Styela clava: one gene and its partners. The protein of the gene in region 1 interacts with the protein of each later gene in a pairwise test. Links are inferred from orthologs where the notes say so. Each region holds a gene or a part of one and is shown in the gene's direction. Other genes may lie near its edges. The genes, in order: huntingtin-like, osteoclast-stimulating factor 1-like and abscission/NoCut checkpoint regulator-like.

Region 1 (3,758 bases):
GTCTATGATGTCCAGAATTGCTCTTTACAGCTTGCCTGTTATTCCAGCTTTCCAAGTAAGCAAAACTTCTTAGATATAGAGATTATTTTGTTTCGTTACAGGCGCAAAAAGGCAGGTACTACACGTAAAAAAGACGCCGAGTAGCAAAAGCGAGCGGAAAACGGACGCGAAAGGCGACGAGAAATATGTGCATTGGAGCGTATCATGAAATACAATGTTTTGCCTGTAGTCTTATGGAGTGACGTCAGAGTTGCCTATCATGTTGTTTAATGTCATTGTTCACACCAAGCGAAGCAGTACAGTAGGACACAAAATGGCGTCCGACATCATGGCAAACAAAAACAAATATCACAGAGCTAACAGAAATATTTAAAATGAATAAAAGTAATAGCCTTCTGGGAAAAAATTTTATCTTCAACCAATTAAAATTTCAAAGCAATTGGTCCAGTACCGGTATTCGAAGAGAAAAGCGGTTTTTTAATATTTCCACTAGGTGTGTTATTCTGTGTCAAACAACAAGAACAACATAATATTGAAACGATCGTTATGTCCACTACGTGTTCAAAAATGTGAAAATCATAAAGTCTCACCGGTACCGGTACCAGTAAAGAAAACTCACAACGCAATCGCTCTGTGATTAGCGTTTACTCAGTACAGCAGTAGTGCCGACTGAAATGATACCGGTATTAGTTGTAAGCCGTTACGGTACGGTACGTAAAACCGGCTAACTTCGGATGCTTTGTAACTTCGGATGAAATTTTCAATCATTCATATCTCAACTAAATTTCGTCGTATTGCGCTTCTGTCGGTTTCTATAGTAAGGCCTTACATATCTGAATCTGCCGTAGCCTCCAATCGCTCGATTTGATTTTTTATCATTCAAAAAATCATATTTTACCAAAAAAATGACACCGTTTTTTCGAGCGGCTCAAATCGTGACTTCTACAGACGCTACCTTCGTCAAATCACCGCCAAGCGCTAGAGAGCGTACACAATGTATACAAAAAAATACAGTGATCACAAGGTGTCGTACGAGATTCGAGTGAAATCGGTTATTTTGATTTAAAAATTACATTAAAATATTGACGTTTTGATGATTACGTACAGCGTGACGTCAACGACGCAAATCCCGTTCTCTCTCTTCGTAGCCGACGTCACTTTGCGTAGCTCGTGCGTTACTCGCTGCGACATTTGAACGCCAGACATCGCGGCGCCCAGTTTTGTGAAATTTAAAAATTATGCTTATACATGATCCTAGTCACTAAATCCTACAAAAACATCACTATCGTCTCAGTCATATGTTGTTTATTTAAAAATATGGGTATGCATACGCTTAATGCATATGAAATTTGTCGATTTTTGTTTTTGCATACTTCCTCCGACACCGATAGATACCGTAGCAATTGGTAATACGTTAGGCCTGAAACATGTATCTATACGATCATAATGATTAGATATGTCTGTTTACGATCGGCAGATGATAATAATATCTTTAACAGGTGAGCGTAGAACTCTACATACATGCACACAGCAGGAGGTTGGACCACATACAGGTGAGGCGCAAAATGAAAAAAAGTGGCAAAGTTTCTTTTTGCCGTTTTTATCCGTTTATTGTCATTTGACTTTATTAAGTGAAACGAAAGCGAGGATCGAAAGTCACACCGGGCAGGAACCTCTGCCGAGCCGATCAACGGGGAGCTCTGAGAAAATCAGAAAATATGAAAAGTGATAATCAAGACGAAACCTGCTCTGCTTGTGGATTATGGAATGAACCAAATGGAAGTACGGAAATTGAGGATGAATGGGTCGGTTGCGAAAGCTGCAGCGAAACACATTGGTTCCACAAGACCCGTCTAACCCATGTGGAAATGATTACAATTCTTGATTTTGCCAGCGTTTCCTTCAATTCATCTGTTTATTTTTAACTGTCGATTTTTTGTTCATACCTTACTTGTTCCATATTGCTTTTTGATTTCAATTTTTACTTTTGCCAGTGTTTCATTCGATTCATCCGTTTATTTTTAATTGTCTAATTTTTGTTCATTCTTTACTTGTTCCATATTGCATTTCAATTTCAACCTACACCAGTGTTAGGTACTTTCAATTCTTCCGTTTTTTTTTTTTGCTAATCCTTTTATTGCATTGAAAATAAACGATCATAAAAGAACGAACTAGCATTTTGCAATAAATTAGGAGTAGTTAGTGAAATATATACGAGTTATAATAAAGGACACAAGAATAAATAGTTAAGCTTCGCGAAGCGGCAAGAGTAACGTCACGTACAAACGTCAGTATTCAACACGCAAGACAGGTCGTGGCGGCGTAAGGTCTATTCAGCGACGTTGTCACGCGTCATTGCTTACGCAGACATTTCTCTCTCACGACGAGTTGACGCAAAGAGAAAAGTGGCCATCCGAAGTTAGATAATTTTAGAATAGACGAATAAAGACAATAATTTCAATGAAAAAAGGCTTTGATGGATATGGAACCGACTTTATCAAGACGAGAATAGCCACAATGTATTATATTCCAAATTTGGCTTCAGTTGAACAACATGCGGCGGAGATATTGTTCAAAATATAGTGAAATCATCCGAAGTTAGCCGGTTTTACGGTACCGGTTTGGCGCAACATACAGCTGTACAGACATGCCGTGGCCCGTGGGTAGGCTAATTTATTGGGTAAGACTGCGTTTGGTATAAACAAATAGGACCGGTACCGGTAATGGTTTAACGTTACAGCGTTAAGTGTAGGCAATAAAGCATAGGATTTACATACCGGTATTTCTCTATTTACCGTATCCCTGGGGAAAGGAAAGGGATAAGATGGCTTAGTGATCAATTAGAAATTTCCCTTGTGTTCTGTTTTACATATACCATAGCATTGGTTCCCAACCGCGGCGGTGTGGCTCAACGGGCTAAGCGTTAGGAATACGCTCGCCACCGCACCTCTAATTACTCTGCGTCGGTTCGCAGGTTCGAATCCCATGCAGGGATGGTCCATGGCAGGGATTAATATGATAAACCCAATGAAAAAGCTTGATTCAAATTGTGATTCTACTTTACAGTCCAGATTTAAAAAAGAATCACTGTCACAATTTTGGATATCTCTTGATAACAAATACCCATCGCTAAGTAATCGAGCAATCAAACTGTTGTCCGTATTTTCAACGAGTTACTTATATTTTTATTACTTTTAAATGAAAATATTTTCATCACTAGCTTTAATTAAAGCGAAGCAAGGAAATTGGTTGCACGCCGCTGCAGGGCTACGTGTTGCAGAAACTTCCTTGAGGCATCGTTTGCAATCCCATATTGGAAACTAAACAGCAGCAAAATTTTTAGTTAATTGATGTTTTTTTAAGTGTGCCTTTTTGTCTAGATGCATATTGAGTGCCCGACGTTGCATTGTATTACGCAAATATGCGATATTCTTTTATGTTCCGGTCATTTCAATTTTTGCCGGTCCTCGAGTACATTTAATTTAATTTAACCGGTCCACCAGGGTAGAAAGGTTGGGAACCACTGTACTATACCGGTAGTACCGGTATATTTGGTTACTGGCTTAAATATGTTAGGAATTCCATGAACTGACTAAGCTGCATTTAATCTTTTGTCATGCTGGTGATACGGTACATTTTTACCACATTTTTTGAGTTCACCATCCACTAATACCGTATACAGCATAGCTTGTATATATAGACTATATATCTTTATTTTTGCTCTTTTCATATATCGAATGTTTGTATATATTATTGTT
Region 2 (3,758 bases), on another chromosome or scaffold:
AAATCAGCTTTTGTAACGCCTTTTAAGCGGAATGAAATAAAATCGACTTTACAGTCATCTGGAAATGGATCAGTTGGGGGGTCGTTATCTGGATGGGCTGCTTTGAGTGGAAAAACAATTCCCCAACCATCAGCGACAACAAAACAAGTAAAACCTACTACATCTGGGGTTCTATCTTCTAAAGAAAAGCGTGATAAATCTACTAAAATGCCAAAAGTTGGGCCCAAACTTGCTGTATCGGATGCATTTGCCGAAGCTCTTGGAGCTGATTTACCGACAGGAATGGCGAGTTCGTCAAAATCAAGTTCACATAAGTCAAATCCATCGTCATGGATTTCTACTTCTAAATCTTCAATGTTTCCTAAAGCGGCAGCAACCACTAGTCTCGCCAGTGCGGAGAAAAGATTCCAAAACATGAAGAAAAAAGCGAAGTTAAATTCAAAGAAATCGAAGATATGATTTTTTATTCATGACTTCGCAATATTACAGTAATGACTCGGTGATTGGCGAAACAAGACTCTATAATTCATTATAGCCCCAGTAGTTCTCGACTTCCTGGTGGTTGCCCAGGACTCCACTCAGATATCTTTGATTTATGAGTGATTACATGTGAACTTGCTTTGAGCGAATTTCCATTCAAAAAAATTCTGGTGCTAACAAAACAGTAATTGGAAGACTTAAAATAAAATTGTTCTGAGCTTTTCATTTTCAATAACATAACATAGGACTTTACTTGAAAAACTAATTCAAAACTAATCTGCTAACTATCCCAAATTTTTGGTTTCTTTGTGTTTACTGTTTAGATATTTGTTATAGGTTCAAAATGATGTTATAATGTATATGGTTGGTTGTATTGTGAATTTTTCTTGGGAATGACAACTGTAGTCCCAATGAAAGCGCCAAGCCTGTTTTAAAATTCATCAAAAACTCTACATGTTATGTACTTTTGTTATTAAATTTCAAATGCCTAATTTTCTGCTTTTTCCAGGTTCAATTAAATAACAATAGTCTTATAAACTAATTAACCCCTAAACGACCACAAAAATGTCTTCGAAATCAAGGCCACCCCCTCCCAGGCTAGCTCCAAAACCAGGAATGGTAAAGACATTTCGAGCTCTGTATCCTTATGAAGCGCAACAGAAAGATGAGTTGTCAATTGATGAAGGGGACATTATTTATGTGACTGACCAAAGTGATAGCAACTGGTGGAAGGTAGGTGATGAAATTGGTTAATGATGTGTAACTGGTCGGAATAATAGTGGTTGGAGGTAATAGAGCATGACTGGCCGGAATATTTGTAACTGATTTATGTGACTGATCAAAGTGATTGCAACTGGTAAAAGAAGATAGGTGAGGGAAGCTATCCCTGGCTGTCCAAAAAAATTGGAAATTATTTGGATACATTTCAAATACCAATATTCAATATAGTGAATTTTTGATGGCAGGAATAATTCAGAACAACAGAGAAATAATTTTCTTTATATTTATGTTGTTTCAGATACGATCAACATGAAAATAATAAAGTCATTTATTTAATTTTCCATATGAATTTGCCCCCAATTTGGAATGTATTTGACATGCTATATTCCAAAATATTTTTTAGAATGTAAACGGAATAGTGAAATGCACAGTTTTAGCCATCCGTTAATTGACTATGAATCAAGGCGGTAATACAAAATTGCGAATGCCCGAAGTTAAAAAAAAAATGAAAAAATTCCAAAAAAGGCTGCTTTTCTAGTCGTTTTTCTAATCAAAACTTGTGGCTCTTTTCACCGAAGTATTTCGATACAAAATTAGAGATGTTAATCCTCATTTTCTCAAAAATATTTTTTTACAAGTCGTATCATCATTTATTCTGTTTCAGGCAACCTGCAAGGGTAAATCAGGTCTCGTTCCTAGCAACTACATGTCAGAGGATAGCGCTGGAGCGATTGATTTCCCACTTCATGAAGCAGCGAAGCGTGGAAACCTAGATTTTCTTCGAGAATCACTTCGGAATCGGGTTGGAATTAACGGGCAGGATAAAAGCGGAAGTACAGCTTTATACTGGGCTGCTCATAGCGGGCACGGCGAAGTTGCAGATGAGCTAGTACAGAATTCGCTCACCGATTTGAATTCCCAAAACAAGCTCGGGGATACTGCACTGCACGCTGCAGCTTGGAAAGGCCATGATGAAATTGTCCGTCTTCTACTTGAGCGAGGTGCAAACCCATTGTTACAAAATAATGATAAAAAGACACCGTTTGATTTGGCGTCCTCTCCAGTGGGGGCGAGTCTTCTGAAACCAAAAAAATGTAACTCCCTTGGAAGTCTAAGCGATGATTATCTGGGAGATGGTGACGAATCTGATTAACTTTTGCAAGGTCATGAGCGAAACCATATTTTTGTCATATCTATTGATGAATCTTGGATATTTGCACTCTTAAAACTATTTTATCAGTAATTTTTCTCTTTTCAGTTAATATCGGTTCGCTTTGAGAAAACTTGTAGAAAAAACTAAAAATTAGTAACTACTCGTCTCCAGCCTTGCCTACTATTTGATTAGACATTTGGCACTGGTTGCTTCTAACTCAGGGTGATCCAAACCCAGGCCCGCGGGCCACATGTGGCCCGCCGCTTCATTATCTGTGGCCCACATCACCTCGGAGAGTAATCAGAAAATCACATTTTGTGTTGTTTCGTCATAAAATAAATCTTTTGACATATTGTCATCACTAATGTCACTGAATTAAATAGTGTTATGGCTAGCTGAGGAAACTAGCAAAATTGAATGATGTGCTTTTCTAAACTGTTACCTGGCTTTTTAACATTTTGGTCGGGAATATATGCTAGCAATATAGGCATTATAGAAAACTAAAAATTAAATGCGGATTCTATTGGCTATGACTGATAACTATGTGTTTGCGCAATAAAAGTGTTTGTTTTGTATTGCACTGTTTACCTATTCTTGGCACTATTGTGACCCGCGGACCCGATAACCTTGGACCACCCTGTTTTAACTATTCTATCAGTAATCTTTGTACTTCTCATTAATGGCTCATGAGCTTGCTTTGAGGAAACCTGCACAAAAATTGTATGTATAAGTGTTGGTTTGAAAAATTGAATTTTTTTCCTGCTTCTCATTGAATGATTGCCCTAAGCCTTGTTCATGGTGTCCTTGAAACTCCGTACAATTCTGTTTGTAACAATTCTTATTCCATTTTCAGTTTATAAGGTTTTGTGGAATCTCGTAATAATAGGTTTCAAATTTGTGACTGGTTTTCTGAAACCTCATTTACTTTCAGTTAGACCAGCGTTTCTCAAAATTTAGTCACATTTTCGATTTCTGTTCTGTGGAACAATCTGTAGAAGCTCATGAAACACAGTTTGAGAAACGCTGAGTTGGACATTCGGCAGTGGTGCACAAAACTATAATATCAGTACTATATCCATTTTTGTTGAGGCCGAATGAATTTGCTTTAACTAAGTTGCATTAGAAATCCTTGTTAAAAAAGTCAGTATGATTACTTATATTGATTGTTATGTCTACTTAAGACCACAGATTGGATTATAAATTACCAAATTAAATGGACATTTACATTTGCGTATATAACATTCTATCAAATGCTGCACTTTTATCATCATCGACTAATAAATGGTACTCTCTGAATCATGTTTTCGAATTTGTATTTTGTCATTCCATCATTTTATAATTTTGTGTGCATTCCCTGATCAGTGCGGTGTTCTCAACCTTTTTTCTATCGTGGCCCACTTTTGTT
Region 3 (3,758 bases), on another chromosome or scaffold:
CCATTGCGCAATTTTTTCACAGTTATCATTGTTATTTACTTGATCTGGTAGATTTCCTGTTGAACTGCAGTTTGTTATTTGTGAGCTAGAGATGTCTGCGTCAGCCTTAACATTTCGATCTGCAAGTTGATTATAATAGTCCAAGCCTGCATTAGGCATAATTGTTTCCAATAAAATTCTTTGATCATGTATTGTAGCAGCGACATCTAAATTGTTTGATATCACCTGTAAATTTTTCATTTGTTGTACCTTCGACTTTTCATCATTTTTAGATAGAATAGATCCTCTGTGCTATCTATTCCATTCCATTATGGGGTCTGGTATAGTTTGGTACCACAAGTACTTCCGGTTGGCGTAGCATAACAAATTTTGTACATGTTATTCCTAACCCTCACCTGACTATGTCATCCAAAAATCACGTCACTACGACGTCACAATCACGTCATAGAGCTTGCCAAGTATAGCTACTATCATCTGAAATGGCATCTGCGCCGACAATACCGAACTCACTAACGCTAACGGCCTCTCTCATATCGGGATCGTTGCGACGAGAAAACGAGAGAAATAGTATGCTAGATTTCGGGTGATCGTCTGCGCGTTTTGGGCGACCATCCGCATACTTCGGTGGGCCTTATTACGCCACTGTGACGTCGAAATGACGTAATTTTTTGGTGACATAGTCAGGTGAGGGTTAAGAATGACATATGCGAAAATTGTTGAGCCAGACCAACTAGAAGTGCATTTGGTACTAAACTATACCAGACCACCATTGTGCATATTTGAATGTTCGCTGGACGTTATCCTATGCCCACTAGAAGTACTTGAGGTACGAAACAACTAAATCTTTTTATCCTGATATTTGAAGGGTAAAGTAGTCACTTGACGTATAAGTGGATTTTTAAAAAGTTGTTGGTTATAGGATTATCATACTGAAATAGATTGAACATGGATAAACGTTGCAGGGTTTGCACTTCTAAGTTTGGGATCTTCAGAAAGGAGGTAAGTGATTACAGCACATCATAATTTTCTGATATTTGTTATCAACTAAAAAAATGTGAAACAGCGGCGGTGTGGCGCATCATGTTAAGCGTTAGAAATAGGCTGCCCTCACACCTCTGATTACTGGATACCCTGAGTGTGTTTACAAATTTGGAGCGTGTGAAGAGGTTGGCAATCATTCACCGAGCCCCTCAATAAATTTATAAAAATAAAAATTTTCTATTGGAACTTACAGATATTGTCATATTTGCTGTAATTACCACCTTGTTGCCACATTTTGACGCTACCTTTGTCAAATTTCATTAATGACGTTGTTGGTTATTTGGACAGTTACAAAATTAGCCAAGTCAGTATTTCAATAGGTAAATGAATAGTTTGCGGAGCCTCCTAAGTTTATTTCCCGGAGCTCTGGGCCTTCGTATAGAGCACTTTGTGAACCTATGGATTACTGGATACTCCAGTAATTGCGACTCCACTTCTCTGCTGTACAAAGATCGATCTTCATATCGGCCAATTCATTACATTTGTTTGTTTATGCTATTTCTTTGTAAGAAGGATTGGGGGCTTCCCAGTTTGATATTTTTCACCTAATTTCTGCCCCTTGGGTGAGGTGATGTCATGGAATTTAAACCTAAGAATCTACGATGCCAGCACAGCTAATTTTAAATCCCTAACCACCTTGCCAATTGACAGGTTGAATGTGAACGATGCCGTATTGCACTTTGCAAAGAATGCCGATCGTGTACATTGACCGACCCGAAAGAGCAGAAAACACTTTCCGTTTGCAAGAAATGCCACACCGCTGTGACGTCTGGGAACACAAAGCCTAGACCACGGTCGCCTCCAATGAATTTCAAACGGTATGTAAATGTGTCAACATAATATATTTTTTATGCTTGTACAAGCAGCCAGAGATATGTGAGAATAATAATCCAGCGGTTCTCAACCTTTTTTCTTTCCTGGCCCATTTCTTTCTACGAAAATGGGCGCTTTCACTTGATATTTATAATGAAATTTATCACTCAGTAGCAGAAAACATCATCATCAATCATTGTTACTGCAATTAAAATTAAGGATTAGTGATACAAATCAAACTAGCTATTTTTAAAAGTTTTGTGGCCCATTTCGAAATCTTTGTGGCCCAGCAGTGGGCCATGATCCACTTATTAAGAAGCAGTGATCTGATTGGTTCAGCATTGCCCACTCTGTTTCTGAGTGGGGGTGGTGAGTGTGGGATTATCTTTGTCATTTATTTTATGTTACATCGTGTCTGCCTCTATTGTTACATAACTGTTAATAAGTAGCAATAAAAGTTGACACTACTTGCTGTAATTGGGTGTCTGGCAGTTCATTTATCTTCCGAACCGAGTTTAAAACTAGAATATCGGTTAGAAACCGAAGACTTATCGATCGAAGGTTAGGGGATCCCCCAAAACAGTGGTCTTACTCCATAGTGACACCGTGTGTCCCATCACTAATTAATTAATAACTCGCTAATTATGAGACATAATCCATCCAAAATCAATAGGCTTCTGATCCGAGCTATGGTGAATGCACATGCAAAATTTGGAGCAGATTCCACCTCGCTTTCGTGAGATATCGCGTGCATCTAACACACAGACAAACAGACAGACAAATACCTATCAACATACTTACAGATCTTAAGATCGATAAGTAATAATCCGGCTGATATGAGAAAGAGAAATGCGCTCCTGAAGTATGAGTACCAATGTGGATGTTACAAATTTGTTTGTTCATTTTACATCAATTTGTGTAAAGCGACTAAAAACCTATGGACAGGAGGTATATTCACTTAGCTAACACTGACAGTCCGAGCTCGTAACAGATTAAACTTATGGCCCAACCCCAACCAGGTATGCATACGTTGTGAGTACCCAAGGAATTTAACCCTTTTGTATTTATTAATCAGACCTACCTGATTGCAAACTTTAAAATGTCGCACTTTAGTTTAAGTCCTTGTTTTTCAGTGAAATGGAAGCCAAAGAAAAAATGAACGCACAAAAACGTCATCTGCCCAAACAAACAGTCTCTGTGGAAATGTCAGACGAAGATTTGCAACTTGCGGAACGTTTTCATGATCTTATCGATGAAACTTCAAAATCAAAAGGTAAGAGTTTCAATTTCATTTGTTTCGCTTGTCCCTTTCATCTATTGAAATAGTAGTCTCCCTGCACCTCTTATACATACTTTTCAGACGACCTCCATCACATATATCGCTTCCGTGTTGCAATCCACAACATAGACTCCTACCACATCTTTTATTTACTTCTCACACTCTTTCTGCCACACTTATTTATTTTTAGACTCCCTTCACCCCATATAATCATTTTTAGACTCCTTACACCTTTTTAAATTTCTTTTAAGGTTTTAAAGCCAAGGCCATAAGATTGAGCCATTATATCAGTTTTCCCTTTCTAAAGGAGATCCACAGTATATACAGTATGTGCTCGTTTTGTAGCCCGGGCTTTTTTTTTTTTAACCAAACTCATTAACCGGGCCCTTATTCAAACCGGCCTTATTCAAGCACGAGCGCTTGTTATTTTTAAAGTAAAATTATACACAAAAATATATAAAAAAACATATATATATATAGATAAGATCGATATTGTCATTTCCAGTTCTCAAGTATGATTTAAACGAGAATAACGGAAATTTTGACTCTTTCTACACATCGCAGGTACAAATCCACAAAAGAAGAAAAGTTTCGCGACGCCCTATCAATATTGAAACGCCGCACT

What was found.
Region 2: the proteins of huntingtin-like (region 1) and osteoclast-stimulating factor 1-like interact in binary tests that used the Homo sapiens proteins (3 or more experiments, as listed by UniProt). The link is inferred for Styela clava from reciprocal best matches to the Homo sapiens genes HTT and OSTF1.
Region 3: the proteins of huntingtin-like (region 1) and abscission/NoCut checkpoint regulator-like interact in binary tests that used the Homo sapiens proteins (3 or more experiments, as listed by UniProt). The link is inferred for Styela clava from reciprocal best matches to the Homo sapiens genes HTT and ZFYVE19.

What each region holds. Positions count from the first base shown.
Region 1 is NC_135250.1:24,315,560-24,319,317, reverse strand, and holds the start of huntingtin-like, read left to right. Parts: upstream 1-1,412; 5' UTR 1,413-1,553; exon of another isoform or gene 1,554-1,632; 5' UTR 1,633-3,758.
Region 2 is NC_135253.1:23,031,156-23,034,913, reverse strand, and holds the start of osteoclast-stimulating factor 1-like, read left to right. Parts: upstream 1-916; 5' UTR 917-1,044; coding exon 1,045-1,212; intron 1,213-1,864; coding exon 1,865-2,353; 3' UTR 2,354-3,758. Other genes in the region: integrator complex subunit 12-like, read left to right, coding at 1-459.
Region 3 is NC_135255.1:23,672,054-23,675,811, forward strand, and holds the start of abscission/NoCut checkpoint regulator-like, read left to right. Parts: upstream 1-843; 5' UTR 844-945; coding exon 946-999; intron 1,000-1,692; coding exon 1,693-1,859; intron 1,860-2,987; coding exon 2,988-3,127; intron 3,128-3,758. UniProt on the Homo sapiens protein: Key regulator of abscission step in cytokinesis: part of the cytokinesis checkpoint, a process required to delay abscission to prevent both premature resolution of intercellular chromosome bridges and accumulation of DNA damage.